Linked DNA regions of Oryctolagus cuniculus. Each later gene encodes a partner of the first gene's protein in a complex. Links are inferred from orthologs where the notes say so. Each region holds a gene or a part of one and is shown on either strand. Other genes may lie near its edges.

Region 1 (7,291 bases):
CATGCCCACGCCAGTCTGTCACTACAGTGCACTCCCCTGGCCCCTCCGTCCTCCCCCACCCGCCCCAGTTTCCAGACTATTCCTCCACCCCAGGCTCTCTCTCTCCAGCCTGGAGCCTGAGTTCTGGCACTGACTGGCTGGGCCACCTCCTGCCAGGCTATGACCCTGCCTGTGGCCTCTGGCTTCCCCTACCCCCAGCTGGAAAATGTGGTACAGGAGAACTGCTCTCTGAGGACACTCAACTCCTCTCCTGTTCTTGTCCTCAGCCCTAGAATCCCTTGATCTGAGGCCAGCGCTGTGGCGTAGCGGGTAAACCCGCTTCCTGCAGTGCCAACATCGCATATGGTCGCCAGTTCGAGTCCCGGCTGCTCCTCTTCCAGTCCAGCTCTCTGCTGTGGCCTGGGAAAGCAGTGGAAGATGGTCCAAGTCCTTGGGCCCCTGCACCCACGTGGGAGACCCAGAAGAAGCTCCTGGCTCCTGGCTTGGTTTCAGCACAGCTCCAGCCGTTGCTGCCATTTGGGGAGTGAACTAGCAGATGGAAGACCTCTCTCTCTGCCTCTGCCTCTCTGTAACTCTGCCTTTTGAATAAAATAAATCTTAAAAAACAAAACATGAATCCGTTGATCCTAGGGTTCCCACAGGGCTAAACACCCCCCACGTGGCCATCCTCAGTCTTGGCACAGGCTGATCCGCCCACAGGGACCCGGATGCTTCTGCAGAGGGTGATAAGGGTAGGCGAGGCCTCTCGGCATTTGTCCTGATAACAGCTTAAGCTTTAGAGACAGCGCCAGATGTTGACATTCGTCCGGAGGCAAGCGTCTGCCTGGGAGGCCCCCGGCCTGGCTTCGGTCAGTGGCTGTTGCCCAACAGCCAAGGAAGGAAGGCAGTCCACTGACTGTGGATACGGGTCTGCAAAACAGCAACCGGCACCAGTGACCAGCTTCACTGGGCTGTTACGAGGACTGCGAGGGCACTGCAGGTAAACATTTGAACACAACGCCTGCTTCCTGGACTGCTCCCTCCCAACATAAGCCCTGACTCCTCGGGGGCTCAGGAGCCGCACCACTCTTGCCCAAGACCAGAAAGAACTGGAAGGGTAGGACTCTAAATCCCCAGGTGACATCAGGCCCAATGTCACGCTGCCGCCACCAAAGAGATCACTCCTGGCAGTCGCGGTCCCCCCTATTGCTCCACCTCTCTCCCACGAGTGCGCCCCTCGGAACCTGCCGGGGCACTGTCCCTTTCTCATCAACTCTGAGCTGCAGGAAGCCGACTTCCAACCTCCCCTACTTCTTGGACAAGCAAACTGAGGCCCAGGGCACTGAGCGGTATTCTCAGGCTCCAGCCCAGAGGGGCTCAGGTTACCTTGGGGCAGAAGGAACCAGAGAATGGTAACCGTAGCAAGCAAACAAGACTAGCTACGTCCTGCAAGCTAAGGGAAGGGCCCACCCAGGTCCCTGCCCACCCAGGTTCAGTTCCCCCAAGAGAGCGGACTCTCCCAAGGCGGCTACAGGAGGACTTTTGCGTAGTTGGCACCCTCTCCACCCGGGGCCCTCCCACGTGACCGCCAGCACAGCTGACTGGGGTCCCTGCCCTGTTAGTATCAGGAAACCCCAGCTGACCAGAGGCTGGGGGAAGGGAGAAGAGCCCGAGGCAAGGGTGTCCACCTGGCCATGATTTCGCTACAGCTCCACAGCCTGGGCAGAGACGGCCAGGGACGCGCGCGGATGGACCCTGCTCCGCGCTAGGGCGGGGTCCCCCTCATTCCCCGGGGCTGAGGGCTGGGCCCTCAGAGAGAGGCACTGACCCGGCTCGAGCGGCGGCCCCGCTGCCTCCGCCTCCGTCCTCATGACCCGCGCAGCACGGGGCGCCCATGGCCCCGGCCCGCTGCGGGCTGCAGCTTCGGCTTCAGCTGGCGCAGGAGCGCAGCCAATGCGTGTCGAACGCCGTAGCCGCCGCCGCCACCGCCACAGCGGGGAGAAGCGGAGGCGGCGGCCGGGCAGCCCCAAGCCCCGCCCCAGCCACTCCAGGTCTTGGATCCGGAGGCCCCGCCCCTCCCCTAATCCCCGCCCCTTCCCAGTCCCAGACTTCGATTCCTAGAGGCTTCCAGCCTCATGATTTAAGCCCGGCCTGGCCATTCACAGTCTCGGTTTCTGGTAGCTCCGCCCCCTTACCGAATCCTCGCGCAGACGCGCGGGCCCTTCCTTCGCTCGGTCCCCCGGAAGCTCCGCCCCTTCTGAGCCCCTCCCCGAGGGCTCGGCGCAGCGCAAACACTGGCTCCCCAGGGGCTCTTTCCCTCAGCAAGCCCCGCCTCTGCCAGGCCCCACCCCTTTGCCGGCTTCAGCTGTAAGCCGGCTCCGGCCCTGTGATTGCCTAGGGTCCAGGCAACCGTACTCTGATCTCTTTAGTGCTGAGCCGGCCCCTGCTCCACTTGGTACCTCAGTTTCTCTGTCCAGACACGACACCTCCCCTCTCTGAGAGTTCCCGTTACCTGGCAGTGCCGGGTTCCAAAGATTAAATTGTGAGGGGAGGTCCCAGCCCTCATTCCCACTTCCTGCTGCCCCGGATCCGAGGACCCAGGCTGTAGATCCCCTCCTTGTCGTCCAGCCAGTCTTTTGTGAGGGGTGCTTGGAAGCGCAAGCCCCCCTCTCCCGTTTCGGGCCCCCGCGTCGGGGCTTCCGGCGGCCCCCGGGCCCTGTCATCAGCCCTCTCTTCCGGCGCCGGAACTATCGTACCTGGGTCCGCGTTTCCCAGCCGGCGGAGTAAGGAGGAAGCGGAGACGAGCTCGCGCTCTGGGACGGTCCCCGCGCGCGGCATTCTGGGAGCGCGTGGTATTCTGGGAGTGCAAGGCCCGCCATTCGCCCCGCTCACGCCTTCTCTCTCGCAGTTGTTGTCGCAGCACCGAAGAGGAGGAAGAAGGGGCTCGAGCCGGTGAGTAGGGGCCGGGGACGGGAAAGGGGAGGCCTAGGCGCTCGTGAGGGATCGGGGGCTGGGGCAGGACGCGCTGCAAGGAACCGCGCAGGGCTCCGGGAGGGAAGGAAGCGGGAAGCCGGGACACCCAGACACCCGCGTCGCCTCGCCTGAGCCTGGGGAGTGAGTTCGTTACCTCCCCCTCGTTTCTGGCTGCTTAGCCTCGTCCCTGAACTCCATCGGCGTCATCCTTGGCCTCCAGCCCCCTTTTCCGGCGCTGATGCAGCCCCTCGTGCTTTCCACGCCATTGCAAAAGCGTTTTCCGAAGTTCCTCTGCTTCTGAACTGTGTGTTCGATTTGGCCTGTAAACGCTGATACCTTTCCATTGGGTCGTTCCTTCCTTGAGATCCCGCGCTGGTTCCGTGCTCTCTGAAACGTAACATTCCAGCTCTGGCGGCGGAGGGCTGGGGATCCTCACGGAGCGAGCCTGGCTGCCCTGTCGTGTTCTCCCTTATTTCGTGCCAGCCTTGCGTCCTTACCTGGCTCAATAAAAACTCCACTGCTTGTCTCTCAACTACGTCGGCAGATCCTTGTGTTTTTCCTCCAAGATAAGCAGTTTCCTACACGTTGTCCCTTTGTGACCGCTTTGCTGTTTTCTCTTTAGCTTTAACAGTAAAGCGAATGGAAAGTCAGAGGCTGAAATAAAAACACAGCCTCCTCTCCTGGATATGTCTGGGTCCTCTGGTTGGTTGGTTTGTTTGTAAGATTCATTTATCTGAAAGGCAGAGTTACACAGTCGGGGTCGGGGGCAGGCAGAGAGAGAGATCTTCCATCCCCTGGTTCACTCCCTCAAATGACTGCAACGGCTGGAGCTGGGGGCCAGGCCAGAGTCAGGATCTTCTCCCCGGTCTCCCACAGGTTCAGGGGCCCAAGCATTTGGCCCATCCTCTCCTGCTTTCCCAGGCTATCAGCAGAGATCTGGAGTGGCAGTAGACAGCCGGGACTTGAACCAGTGCCCCTGTGGGATGCCGGTGTACCCGCTGCACCCCATCGTGGTTTTCAGGATGCAGTCACCCACAGCTGTGGATAGGCAGATGTGTTGCTCAGCATGGACGTTCCGAGCGCCTCTCTCCCAACACACAGACCACATTGGTCACTGGTTATCTTGGCCAAGGAAAAGGGACATGAGGGGCCAGTGTTGTGGGGCAGCTGGTTAAGCTGCCACCTGTGACGCTGGCACCCACGTGAGAGTGCCAGGCTGATTCTCAGCTGCTCCATTTCCTATCCAACTCCCTGCCAGTGCTCCTGGGAGGCAGCAGATAATGGCCTGAGGTTTGAGCCCCTTGCCACCCACATAGGGAGACCCAGATGCAGTTCCAGGCTTTGCAGCCATTTGGGGAGTGGCCCAGCGGATGGAAGATCTCTCTCTCTCTCTCTCTGTATCTGTATCTGTGTCCCTTACTCTGTCTCTAGGTAAAGGGACATGGGAGCAGGTGAGGAGTAGGGAGGTAGGTGGGAGATTCTTTTCCTTTCCGTGAGCTTTCCTTCTGTCCAGCACGCTGTCTCTCCCCTCTTCATATTGTGTGTATTTGCCAGGAAGGCTCCTCCAAGCCAGGAGCTGAGCTGCTCTTGTGTAGAAAATGCAGCTTTGGCACCGGTGTTAGGTTTTATGGGGTCCAGGCCTTGGGGAGACATGGTGCGCACCACACGCGGCCTCTGGCTCTGAAGGCTGGGCTCACTGCTGTGTCTCCCACCACAGCACTCTCCTCCTGCCGAGATGTCCATCGGTGTGCCGATCAAAGTCCTGCACGAGGCCGAGGGCCACATCGTGACCTGCGAGACCAACACCGGCGAGGTGTATCGGGGCAAGCTCATCGAGGCAGAAGACAACATGAACTGCCAGGTACGGGAGGCTGGCGGCGTCTCCATTGTGCCCGACGTGTGGCAGGCGCTGCCGCGGGCTCCGGGACTGTGGGCCTGAGCAAGAGACAGTACTGGGGCAAAGAACCGTATGGAGATTTGGAATAGTTAACTTTGGCCTTTGCCTTCTCCATCCCATAATTGTCCCCTCCCAACTCCCCATTTTAAAGATTTATTATTTATTTGAAAGGCAGAGAAAGAGAGGGAGAGATCTTCCATCTACTGGTTCACTCCCCCAAATGGCCACAGTGGTTGGATCTGGGCTGATCTGAAACTGGGAGCCGGGAGCTTCTCCCAGGACTCCCACGTACAGGGACCCAAGCACTTGGGCCATCTTCTACTGCTTTCCCAGGTGCATTAGCAGGCTCAGAAGTGAAGTAGCTGGGACTTGAACCGGTGCCCGTATGGGATTCCAGTGTTGCAGGCAGTGGCTTCCCCTGCTACACCACAGTGCCAGCCTCTCCCATGTTTTGGGGCCTGTTTGAGAGAAATGGTGTTACCACCTTCAGCAGAATTCTTCAGGTTCAGGGCCATTACCCTCCCACCCCCACCACCCCACACAGTGAGCAGAAACCTGTGTGCTCTTTTTCTTAGAAGAGGGGTCATGTTTGATTACTGCAGCTGCCTAGTGAGGTAAATGAGTTTGGTGATAGTCTCGGCATCCAGGAAAGAGGGAGAATGTGGTTAAAGGACTCATCTACTGAATATTGCTCTGCTAATAAATGATAGAGCAACTTTCTAACGTGGTGTCTTTCTCAAAGCACTGCTTTTTACATAGTCAGGTAAATTTAAAACAAAAAGATTTATTTGAAAGGCAGAGTTACAGCGAAAGAGTGGGAGAGATAGCTTCCATCTGCTGGTTCACTTCCCAAATGGCCGCAATGGCCGGAGCTGAGCCAAGCCAAAGCCAAGAGCTTCTTCTGGGTCTCCCACATGGATGCAGGGGCCTGAGCACTTGGGCCATCTTCTACTGCTTTCCCAGGCCATAGCAGAGAGCTGGATCAGAAGTGGAGCAGCCGGGACTCAAACCGGCGCCCACATGGGATGCTGGCACTGCAGGTGGCGGCTTTACCTGCTATGCTGCAGCACCATCAAGTATTTTTTATAGCATTATTTTCCAGAGTGTCAGCACATGTTCTTTTTTTGTTTAAAATTTTATTTATTTATTTGAATGGCAGAGGGAGAGAGATCTTGCATCTGTTGGTTTATTCCCCATATATTCAAAGTAGCTGGAGCTGAGCCAGGCCAAGGCAGGAGCCTAGAACTCTACCCAGTTCTCCCACGTGGGTGGCAGAGGCCCAAGCACTTCCAAGGTCTCCCACTACCTTCAGAGGCGTGTTAGCAGGGAACGGATCAGAAGCATGACAACCACAACTTGAACCAGCCTTCTTTTTTTTTTTTTTTTTTTTTTTTAATTTGACAGGTAGAGTTATAGACAGTGAGAGAGAGAGACAGAAAGGTCTTCTATTGGTTCACCCCCTAAATGGCCGCTACGGCCAGCACTGCACGGATCCAAAGCCAGAAGCCAGGTGCTTCCTCCTGGTCTCCCATGCTGGGTGCAGGTGCCCAAGCACTTGGGCCATCCTCCACTGCCCTCTGGGCCATGGCAGAGAGCTGGACTGGATGAGGAGCAATTGGGACTAGAACTCGGCGCCCATATGGGATGCCAGCACTGCAGGTGGAGGATTAACCAAGTGAGCCACGGCACTGGCCCCTGAACCAGCCTTCTGATACGAGATGCTGACATCGCAATCCGCTGCTTAACCCACTGCACCACAATGCCCTTTATTCTTTAAACCGTTGGTTAGGAGCCCAAGCTCTGGGAGCAGGAATTTTGCCTGATGGTTAAGATGCCAGTTGGGATTTCAGTATCTCGTGTCTAAACACCTGTATTTGAGCGCCGCTTCCACTCCTGGTTCCTTCTAACTGTGCACCCTGGTGGGCAAGAAACTGAGTCCATAGCACCCACCTGAGAGACCTGGATTGAGTTCTTGGTTCCAGGTTTTGCCCTGGGCCAACCTTTTGCGGGCATTTTTGGAGAGTGAACCAGTGGATGGGAGCTCTCTCTCTTTCTCAAGTAAATATGTTTTGTTTTGTTTTGTTTTTTAAGGAACTTGGGTTTTGGAATCAGAAATTGGAGAGACATGACTCTGAACCCTGGCTATATGACCTCAGGTTTAGTAGCCACATACCTTCCTCATCAGTGAAATGGGGGTGCTGCTATTTTGGGTGCCCTGAGACATAGCTGCTAGGACAACTGGATGTGTGAGATAGTGGAAAATGACAGGGAGAATGAGAAGAGGGAGCAGAACTGTCAGACCCGGAAGCTGGTTTGCCCGCGTAAAGGAAGGAGGATTGAGCGGGGAGAGCCTCAGACCCAGCACGGCCCTGAGGAAGCCTCAGCAAGGCAGAGGCTGCTCCTCAGGGGGGTCTGGCCTGGGGCAGGAATGGCCTGGGCTCT
Region 2 (4,096 bases), on another chromosome or scaffold:
CCCTTACTTTCCTCAAATGTCCTTATATTGGCTGACAAAGCTCCATTTTTTTTTAAAAGATTTATTTATTTATTTGAAAGTGAGAGTTACAGAGAGGCAGAGGCAGAGAGAGAGAGAGAGAGAGAGAGAGAGAGTCTTTTATCTGCTGGTTCACTCCCCCAAATGGCCCCAAAGCCAGAGCTGCACTGATCTGAAGCCAGGAGTCAGGAGCTTCTTCCAGGTCTCCCACACAGGTGCAGGGGCCCAAGCACTGGGCCATCTTCTACTGCTTTCCCAGGCCAGAGCAGAGAGCTGGATGCGAAGTGAAACAGCAAGGACATGAACTGGCACCCATATAGGATGCCAACGCTGCAAGCCTTGGCTTTACCTGCAACACCACAGGGCCAGCCCCATGTGTTGCCTTTCTATTCTCCCTTTCTCACTGCCTTCAGCCTTACTTCTTTGCCATTCCTACAAGCACACTGCCAGACTTAGGACTATCACACCAGCAGTTCCCTCTGCTTCGCTATTTCCCTCAATTCCTTCGTCTTTGCTATATGCCACCATCTCAGTAATCTAAGTATCATATTTAAAACTGCAAACCTGGGCCGGCGCCGTGGCTCAACAGGCTAATCCTCCGCCTTGCGGCGCTGGCACACTGGATTCTGTCCCAGTAGCCCCTCTTCCAGGCCAGCTCTCTGCTGTAGCCCAGGAGTGCAGTGGAGGATGGCCCGAGTGCTTGGGCCCTGCACCCCATGGGAGACCAGGAGAAGCACCTGGCTCCTGATCAGCGCAGTGCACTGGCCGCAGCACGCCGGCCACGGCGGCCATTGGAGGGTGAACCAACGGCAAAGGAAGACCTTTCTCTCTGTCTCTCTCACTGTCCACTCTGTCAAAAAAAAAAAAAAAAAAAAAAAAACAACAAAAAAACAAACAAACAAAAAAAAAACAGAAAAACAAAAAACTGCAAGCCTCTCTGCTCTCAGGCCCTAGCATCTTCTAACACTTGCTGATTATGCCAACACTTTGGCGTTGTTTACCAGCATAATGTAAGCCCCCAAAGTATAGCAAAAAGCCTATCACATAAAACCCAACAAATACGTTAGGTGACGAAAGAACAACTTGCTTGCCAGCTTGTCATTTCTGAAGAACAGTCAGAAATTCCCAAGGGATGCGGTTTAAAATGAAAGAAAAAGGTAGAATAATAAAAAAAACCTCAAACCTGAAGGCACTATGGATCTGAAAATTTTTTTTCAGGTAAATCTGAGTTCTGAACACAAGGAGGCTTCACAAAGTTGATGGAAAAATGGAATTAGAAGTCGAACTTTCTAGGGGCTTTTAAAATTTCATTTATTTTGCCGGCGCCGCGGCTCACTAGGCTAATCCTCTGCCTAGCGGCACCGGCACACTGGGTTCTAGTCCCGGTCGGGGCGCCGGATTCTGTCCCGGTTGCCCCTCTTCCAAGCCAGCCCTCTGCTGTGGCCAGGGAGTGCAGTGGAGGATGGCCCAGGTGCTTGGGCCCTGCACCCCATGGGAGACCAGGAAAAGCACCTGGCTCCTGGCTCCTGCCATCGGATCAGTGCGGTGCGCCGGCCGCAGCGCACCGGCCGCGGCGGCCATTGGAGGGTGAACCAACGGCAAAGGAAGACCTTTCTCTCTGTCTCTCTCTCTCACTGTCCACTCTGCCTGTCAAAAATAAAAAAATTAAAAAAAATAATAAAATTTCATTTATTTTAAAGTTAGAAATACAGAGTCGGAGAAAGAGAATCTTCCATCTGCTGGTTCACTCCCCAGATGGCAGCAATGGCCAGGGCTGGGTTAGACTGAAACCTGGAGCTTCTTTCGGGTCTCCCACATGGGTGCCTGTGGCCCAAGCACTTGGGCTACCCTTCTCTGCTTTCCCAGGAGCATTAGCAAGAAGTTGGATCAGAAGTGCAGGGGCCAGGCCTCCAACCAGCTGCCCATATAGGATGCTGGCACTGCAGGCGGAGGCTTAACCTTCCAGGGGCTTTCTGAAGCTCCCCAAAGGGCATGCTGGGCGGATTTCAGTGCCTGGCAAGGCAGGCTGGTTCTGTGCCCTCCACCCACCCTCTCCTACTTGCACACGCACAGAACCTTTGGTTCCGAGTCCTCCCCAGCCTTCTCCCCTGGAACACAAACAGATCACACCAAGAGACTTAACAGATTCTAAACTTTATGAAAAAGGCAACGCGACAATCAACTAAGTCAAACACGAGCCTCCAAATCCCCTCACTCCAGTGCCGTCTTCCCCAACGCCCGCCAGCTCTCGGACCTCTTCACCCGCAGTTCTCAGGGAGCCCCGGCGGTCCTGGTGCTGCGTCCCGAGGGATCCACGTGAAGACAGCACCGGCGGGACACCTCGGCGAGCACTTCTGCACCCGGAAGGCCGGAGAAGCAAGGAGTCGCGGAAGAACCAGTCCACTGGAGACAGGAACGCGCGGGCAACGCCGGCGATCGGGAGGCTCGCTGGAGGAGGCGCCGTCTCAGTTTTCCTCGGGCTTGTCAGCGGGGGGGCCGCAAGGCTGCAGCATCTTCTCCATCAAGTTGAAGCGCACTCGCGCTTTGCTCTCATTCTCCGCGATGGCGAAGTAGTTGAGAAGGTCGAAGTGGCCCATGTAGGAGCAGTAGGAGTCGCGGTGCTGGTTCACCAGCCACTCCCACTTGGTGGTGTCGGCGTGGCCCGTGCCGATGTACTTGGACTGCAGGTGCTCCAGCTGGCTGTGGATGGTGTAGCGGTCTGTCATCTTGCCGCTTTCCCTTTCGCTCCGAAGTCAGAAGTCGCACGAGGGTTAGGAACCGGTCTCGGGTTTCCCGCCGGAGAAAGGCCAGCACACGGAACCGGCAGCCTCGCTCAGTCGCAGAGAAATTGCGTCACAGCGACGGAGTGGCGGAGGACGCGGAAGCGGAAGCACATTTTGAAGCCGTATTGGAGTTGCCCTAGCGACACTGAAACTGTCCCGCCCCTTTAACAGAGTCCCGCCCCCCGCCCTCGGAGAGCGTTGCATGATGGTCCACTTGGTGGTCCGTGGGTGGCCCTGTACTGACGTAGCGTCTTGCATGCTGGGATTTGTGGTCTCTTCCGAGACCGCGGTTTAAGAGCTGAATGGAGGGCAGAACCCCAGAGGCGGGGAGCATGCGTTGTCGGCCCGGTGCTAAGAGAAAGTGGGCCAGTGGGCCAGTGGCACAGGCAACCAAGAAAATAAACCCTTGGTGTAATTAGGCGCTGACGAGGCGGCACGGTAGCCCCTTCACAATCGGGTGGCTTACTGAGGTCGGCAGACGCGACCTCTGGTCCCACGCTCTAGCGGGGCCGCCGTTCCCGTTCGGTGACCCTGCACAGCCCCGGGGCCGAGTCGCTTGGGCGCCCCCGGCGCACACTCCTTCGGTCTCGCCTCTCGGGCTGGTGGCCCCCGGCGACTCCACGCCGACCCCCACGACCCCGGCCCGCACTCGGCCAGGTGCCGCGCGCGCCCGCGTCCCCTTCGGAGCCGTTAGCGCCCGCGGGAAAGGCTTTGTTCCCGCGGCGACGCGTCTGCCTTCGGTTGGCTCCTCCTTTGCATCTGATTTTCGCTTTATGTTTTACCTTTTGGTTTAAAATTCACGGCGGTAGAAATACTTGAGGAAAAAACAAACCCATACTTATCTTAGGATATCCTTTTTGGATATTCGTACAGCCTGATAGATTGTGTTCTCCAAAAAACAGTTGAGGGATAGAGAGACAACTACAGCCAAAGAGAGGAACGCTGCCCGGAGAGCAAGAACTTTAAAAAGCAGTTTTGTTTTGCTCTTTTCAGCTTGACAATTCATTCCTAAAGTGTGGAAAATTTATAAGGTATATCTTTGGCTTCATCCTCTAGGTGTATCAAACCTTGACATTTTGCCGTATTTGTCCTGATTTTGTTTTGATTTTTAAGAGATAAATTCTGCAAATAAACGTTCTCCGCGTTCCCTTCCCTCATCTCTTGGACACTGTCCTGGATTTAATGTCAATCATTCTGTTTTCCAATTGCTGAAAGTTTGTGTATCCATAAACAATAGCTGATAGGCATGGTTTAAACCTATGAGTAGCATATATAATGCTGTAAAAGTTGCTTTT
Region 3 (5,763 bases), on another chromosome or scaffold:
CTGGGCACGCACTCCTTTGTTTTTCTGAAAGGCGGAGTGACAGAGCTGCCAGGCGCGCCCCAAATGGCCACGAGGACCAGGGCTGCGCTGGGCTGAAGCCGGGAGCTGGGAGCTCCACCGGGTCTCCCTTGTGGATGCCAGAGGCCCCGCACTTGCGCCATCCTCTGCGGCCTCCCAAGTGCACTGGCAGGGAGCTGGATCGGAAGCGGGAGTAGCCAGGGCTGGAATCAGGCCGCCCCTGCCCACTGGGCCAGCCCGGAGCTCCACGCAGGCCTCACTCCCGGGGGCAGGGACCCCGTGACTCGAGGTCCCCACTGCCTCCCAGGACACGCAGGCCGGTGGAGGACCGGGTGCTGCACCTGCGATTCTGCAGCCCCCACAGGGCCCAGGCAAGGCAGAAAGCTCAGCCACTCGCAAGCCTCGTTTTCCTCACAGCTCAGGCCAAAGACCCCTGTGCCGGTCCCCAGCACCTCCAGCCAGGACCCTGGAGCAGGCGCCCCCGCTGCCCCACGGCCTCGGCCTCCTCGAGCCTCTCTCGCCCCTTGTGCGTTCTCGAGCCTGCACCTGCCAGCGCAGCTCCCCCACGGCTCGCGCTGGGACTGCAGGGCGAGGGGAGCTGCCTCCAGGCCAGCAGGAGTGGGGGATGGCAGGGGAGGGTCGCGCGGGCTTCTCTGGGAAGCAGGTGCCCATCTGAGGGAGAGGCCTAAGAAACCCGATTATATCAGCGGGGACGAGGGGGCCGGGGCCCCCTGCCTGGCCCCGGTCGGTCAAAGCCCCCGGAGAGGGCGACCCCGGCAGGTGCGCGGCGACTCGCGCCCCGAGAACACACACGCCAGGCACACGCGGCCCCGCGCGCGCCGCCCCACCTCGGAGCGCCTGGAGCGCGCTGCGCTCGGGCCGGCGGCAGGTGCCTCGCCGCGCAGACTCGCGGGCCGAACCGGCTCGGCGGGGCGGCCGGGCGGGGCGGGGCGGGGCGGCGCGCGCTCCCCGCCGGCCACACCGGCCGCCTGCGCGGCCAGGGGCGTGCGCGGGCGGCGCCGCGGGCCCCATGTTCGCCGAGCTGAGGGCCAACCGAAGCCCCCCGCGAGGCCGCGCCGCGGCTGTGCGCGCGGGCTTCGGGGAGCGCCGGGATGTGGACGGTGAGCGGGACGCGGGCGCGGGCGGGGGCCCCCTGGCCTGAGCGTGTCCCCACGGCCTCTGTGCTGCGCTGGGGGCGGCCGGCCTCCGCGGCGTGGGGTGGGCTGAGCCCGGCCGCGCCTGTCCCGCACCGGGGTCACCTTTCGGGAGGTACCCAGGCTGCAGCCCCGCTCCCCTGCCCCTCCCTCCTGGAACGGGACGTTGAGGCGGGGAGGGATCAACCCGCGCCGGGTGCCGGCAGGAAATGGGCGGGCCCCGCCGGCTCCGGGCAGATGCGGTTCCCGGGGCGCGGCGCCGAGCGCCCGGAGATCCTGGGAACCGGTCCCCGCCGCACCGGGCTCCCTCGGTGGCCGCAGTGGCCACACCCTTAAGTCTGGGCCTCTGAGGTTCCCAGGGTCGCCGGAGCCTTACGGGGTGCAAGACCGAGGGTTCCCCCATTGCTCAGCGCGAGACCAGGGCCAGCCCGGCCGCCGCAGGACCCGCCGGCTGTGTCGGGGGCGGGGCCCGGGGCGCCGCCTGTGCACCGCGACCTGACAGCAGCCGGGATCCCACCGGGATGGGAGAGGGTCCGCGGAGCCGCTGCCTGCCCCGGGGGTACCAGCACCGGGAAACAGGCTGAAGGAGCAGGGAGGAAGGGGCGTCACTGGGGTCTCTGGGCAATGGCTGCACCCCTGTGCTAAGCACCAGGTGCTGTCCTGGGCCCAGCTTGTGGTGCGGGAGGATTTGCCAGGGCAGGCCGTCAGGAGGGACATGGGGCAGGGCTGTGGACACAGTGTTTCGGGCCAGGGCGACTTCAGTGGGACCGTCTCCCTGCAAAGGCTGCCCAGCAGGCAGGGCCTGCCCTCTGCAAAGGCAGGTCCTGTGTGTGTGTGTGTGTGTGTGGGTCCCTTGTGTGTGCCCAGGTCCCATGTGTGTGCACAGGTCCCATGTGTGTGCACAGATCCCATATGTGTGTCTGCAGGTCCTGTGTGTGTGTGCGTCCTGTGTATGCACAGGTCCCATATGTGTGTCTGCAAGTCCTGTGTGTGTGCATGTGGGTCCCATGTGTGTGCCTGCAGGTCCCGTGTGTGTGCACACAGGTCCTGTGTGTGTGTGCACAGGTCCTGTGTGTGTGTGCATGTAGATCCAGTGTGTGTGTTTGCAGGTCCTATGTGTGTGCACAGGTCCCATATGCGTGCCTATAGGTCTCATGTGTGTGCACAGGTCCTGTGTGTGTGCCTGCAGGTCCCATGTATGTGTGCACAGGTCCCATGTGAGTGCCTGTAGGTCCAGTGTGTGTGCACAGGTCCTGTGTGTGTGCCTGCAGGTCCCATGTGTGTGTGCACAGGTCCCATACGTATGCACACACGCACACAGGTCCCATGTGAGTGCCTGTAGGTCCAGTGTGTGTGTGCATGGGTCCCATATGTGTGTTTGCAGGTCCTGTGTGTGTGCCCAGGTCCCATGTGAGTGCCTGTAGGTCCAGTGTGTGTGCACAGGTCCTTGTGTGTGTGCCCAGATCCCATGTATGTGAATGAAGATCCTGTGTGTGTGTGCACAGGTTCTGTTTATGTGCCCTGGTGCCATGTGTGTATGTGCAGGTCTCGTGTGTGTACATGCAAGTCTTGTGTGTGTGCACACTGATCCTGTGTGTATGTGTGTGTCCAGGTCCCGTGTGTGTGCTCTGGTCCCATGTGTATGTGTGCACAGGTACTATGTGTGTGTGTACACGGGTCTCGTGTGTGTGTGCACTAATCCTGTGTGTGTATGCCCAGGTCCCGTGTGTGCATATGCAGGTCCTGTGCTGCATGCGGGAGGCTCAGAGGCCAGCCCTAGGCAAGGTGTATAGCTCAAGGCTGCCCCTGCCGCCCCTGCCGCCCCTTGCCTGGCTCCCTGGAGTGTGGGTCCTCTGCAGGTAGGAGGCGTGGTGCCTCCAGTCTCTGGACTCCTGCCGGGGGGGGGGGGGCTTGGGGATGTGACTCCCCTCAGGGGTGGGGAGGAGACGGGCACGACAGGGGAGCTGCCTCTCAGGAGCCTGACCAGGGCCCCCGCACACAGCCACCGCCCACTTCAGCTTCTGCCGGACCGTCCTGGAGCACACGGTGTCCGCCGAGAGCATCCCCTGCCACCTGCCTCGAACGCCGGGCACCAGCCTCACGTGGCACGACCCCCGCAGCCAGAGGGCGTGCGGCAGCAGACCCATCAAGCTCCTGCAGCAGCCAGGCACAGAGGCCCCCCAGGTACCCCGCCGCCCGCCCCCGCCCCCCGCGCCCACTACGCCACCCTCACTGCGCCCACCACCCTCCTCTCCCTGCAGGGCCAGCTGTACTCGGACCACTACGGCCTGTACCACACCAGCCCCCCGCTGGGCGGCCTGACGCGGCCCGTGGTGCTGTGGACTCAGCAGGACGTGTGCAAGTGGCTCAAGAAGCACTGTCCCCACAACTACCTCGTCTATGTCGAGGCCTTCTCCCAACACGCCATCACCGGTACGCCGGCTGCTGCCCTCCCGCGCCCCTGGGTGAGTCCCGAGTGTCCCTGTGGGCCTCAGCTTGTCCGCCCCTCTCCCTGCAGGCCGGGCACTGCTGCGGCTGAATGCGGAGAAGCTGCAACGCATGGGGCTGGCGCAGGAGGCCCAGAGGCAGGAGGTGCTACAGCAGGTGCTGCACCTGCAGGTGCGCGAGGAGGGGCGGAGCCTGCAGCTGCTCAGCCAAGGTCTGTGGGAGAGGCTGGGGGCGGGGCTGGGAGGGGTCTCTGAAGGATCTCAGGAGACTGGCTGGAGGGGCCCGGGAAGGGTCCACCCCCATTCGCCCCCATCTACCCCGCAGCTTCCTTCGGAAACATGTCCTAGCTGCTGCTGAGGCTCAAACCCCAGACCAGCACTGTGACTGGAGCCCGTGGCCAGGGACGAAATGGTGCTGGCGGCTCAGCTCCCGGACCCTGTGGACGCCTGGGCAGCAGAGCCCAGTTCTGTGGACAGGCGGGACCAGGACGCTCACCTCCAGGTGCTTCTGGGTGGGCACTCCACGCCGCATCGGGGTTGGGCGCCCTTCCTCCTGGGACCAGAGCACGTGCTGCTGGCCGCGTGTGCAGCAGCTCTCTCGAGCCAGAGATGGCCAGGTGCCTGCAGCGTCACAGCACTGACCCGTCTGCCACCCAGCTGGGATGAACTCCTCAGCCCTCCTAGCTCGGTGCCCCTCCTGTCCCTGCCAGGGCCCGGCAGGCCCAACTCACGGCCCAGAGGAATGGTCATCAGAACCCAGCGGCTGGCTGCCACACCCAGCGCATGCTGAAGCTGGCTCCCTGCTCCGAGTCCGTGAGAACTGAGGCCAGGGGGCATCCACACCCGTGAAGACGAAGCCACCCAATGAGGTGACCTCACGCAGGGGCCTGGGCTCAGTGCTGCTCCTCAGCCGGTGCCTGGGGGACTATTGCGATCCAGCATCTTCTGCCCGGGTCAGTGGCACAGACATTTTCCGTTGTCACTCTCCCGGGAAGATCTGGATTCACAGGAGAGGCTGTCCCAAGGGCCTCGGCCCCACATCTGCCCACAGACGCCAGAGCATCCCCTCCCTGGGTGCAGGGCAGCCCTCTCCCACTCCCCCCCCCCCCGGGCTCTCTCAGGGACAGATGAGGCTGAGCCCAGCCCCTCTGTGTGCCCTGAGCCGGCCTTGGGTGCGAGGTTGGTCATCGCAGCCGCAGGTCCCGAGTGGCATTCGGAAAACTGGCCTGGCACCTCCGTCCTGTGCCATGACCCCCAGCTGCCCGTGTCCCTGTCCCCGACCACCCTGTGCTATAGGTCTTTCCCCAGGGAGCCCTTCCTGCCGCCACCCATCCTCCTGCCTCTGTCTTGCCCACCCCGTGCCCCTGTCTTGTCTTGTCTTGCGTTCACTTTTTTATACTCTGACAAAGAGAAGAAAAAAACAAACAAATAAACGTGGTTCTCAAGTGCCTGCTGCACTGGGTGTGGGGGGGGGGGGCGGCATGCCTGGCTGCCTGCAGGCCGCGCCACCAGGGGGCAGTGGAGCTGCGTTCTGAAGAGGCCTCCCCCAAGGCGGAGGCCACAGCCGGGGCGCCCCACGGGGGGTCCTGGGGCTGCTGTCCCGGGATGGGGCCTTTGCCTTCTCTGAGGCCAGAGGCCAACCCCAGTGGGGCCTCCAAGCCCCTTCGGGTTTCTGGTGCCTGCCTGTTGGCCCTGGCTCCCTCTCATCTCCCCAGGCAGGGACTCTGTGTGCAACCCTCCTCCAAAGAAGGCCTCCCCTGTAGGGTCGGGGCTCCAGCCTCCCACACAGGGCAGGGTCGGGACACAACACCCCAGCCTCACGGTATGGCCACCCAGGCACACGAGGGCACCGGGCCGTTCATTCGCCAGCCCTGGGCAGGCACTGGCAATGAAGTCTCGCCCCAGGGGACCCAGGCCAGCCCCTCCCCCGAGGTCCTGGTGAACCTGAGTTCTGCCCCCAGGCTGGGCAGGGGGTGCTGAAGCAGAGGGCCTGAGAGAGGGCTATGCACCTGTCTCTACCTCCCGCGCAGCAGTGTCCAACGGGGTGCAGAGGTCCATGAGCTTTCCTGGGGCGTCTGAAACTCAGCAGATGCAGCAGCACACACAGCAGAAGCCTGTGGACGCTGTGGCCCACACAGGGTCCA

Evidence for each region. The genes of interacting proteins can lie anywhere in the genome.
Region 2: SNRPD3 (region 1) and SF3B5 share a complex: the UniProt entries of both Homo sapiens proteins name them as parts of the minor spliceosome. The link is inferred for Oryctolagus cuniculus from reciprocal best matches to the Homo sapiens genes SNRPD3 and SF3B5.
Region 3: SNRPD3 (region 1) and PRPF6 share a complex: the UniProt entries of both Homo sapiens proteins name them as parts of the U4/U6-U5 tri-snRNP complex. The link is inferred for Oryctolagus cuniculus from reciprocal best matches to the Homo sapiens genes SNRPD3 and PRPF6.

Annotation. Positions count from the first base shown.
Region 1 is NC_091452.1:31,110,681-31,117,971, reverse strand, and holds the start of SNRPD3 (small nuclear ribonucleoprotein Sm D3), read left to right. Parts: upstream 1-2,817; 5' UTR 2,818-2,931; intron 2,932-4,669; 5' UTR 4,670-4,687; coding exon 4,688-4,813; intron 4,814-7,291. Other genes in the region: protein GUCD1, read right to left, coding at 2,492-2,702. UniProt on the Homo sapiens protein: Plays a role in pre-mRNA splicing as a core component of the spliceosomal U1, U2, U4 and U5 small nuclear ribonucleoproteins (snRNPs), the building blocks of the spliceosome.
Region 2 is NC_091436.1:24,439,723-24,443,818, reverse strand, and holds SF3B5 (splicing factor 3B subunit 5), read right to left. Parts: upstream 2,889-4,096; 5' UTR 2,745-2,888; coding exon 2,484-2,744; 3' UTR 2,157-2,483; downstream 1-2,156. UniProt on the Homo sapiens protein: Component of the 17S U2 SnRNP complex of the spliceosome, a large ribonucleoprotein complex that removes introns from transcribed pre-mRNAs.
Region 3 is NC_091442.1:203,446-209,208, forward strand, and holds the start of PRPF6 (pre-mRNA-processing factor 6), read right to left. Parts: upstream 4,457-5,763; coding exon 4,116-4,456; exon of another isoform or gene 3,968-4,115; coding exon of another isoform or gene 3,945-3,967; intron 3,832-3,944; coding exon of another isoform or gene 3,691-3,831; intron 3,606-3,690; coding exon of another isoform or gene 3,434-3,605; intron 3,357-3,433; coding exon of another isoform or gene 3,175-3,356; intron 2,958-3,174; coding exon of another isoform or gene 2,892-2,957; intron 1,140-2,891; coding exon of another isoform or gene 1,049-1,139; exon of another isoform or gene 970-1,048; intron 1-969. Other genes in the region: SAMD10 (sterile alpha motif domain-containing protein 10), read left to right, coding at 1,049-1,139, 2,892-2,957, 3,175-3,356, 3,434-3,605, 3,691-3,831, 3,945-3,967. UniProt on the Homo sapiens protein: Involved in pre-mRNA splicing as component of the U4/U6-U5 tri-snRNP complex, one of the building blocks of the spliceosome.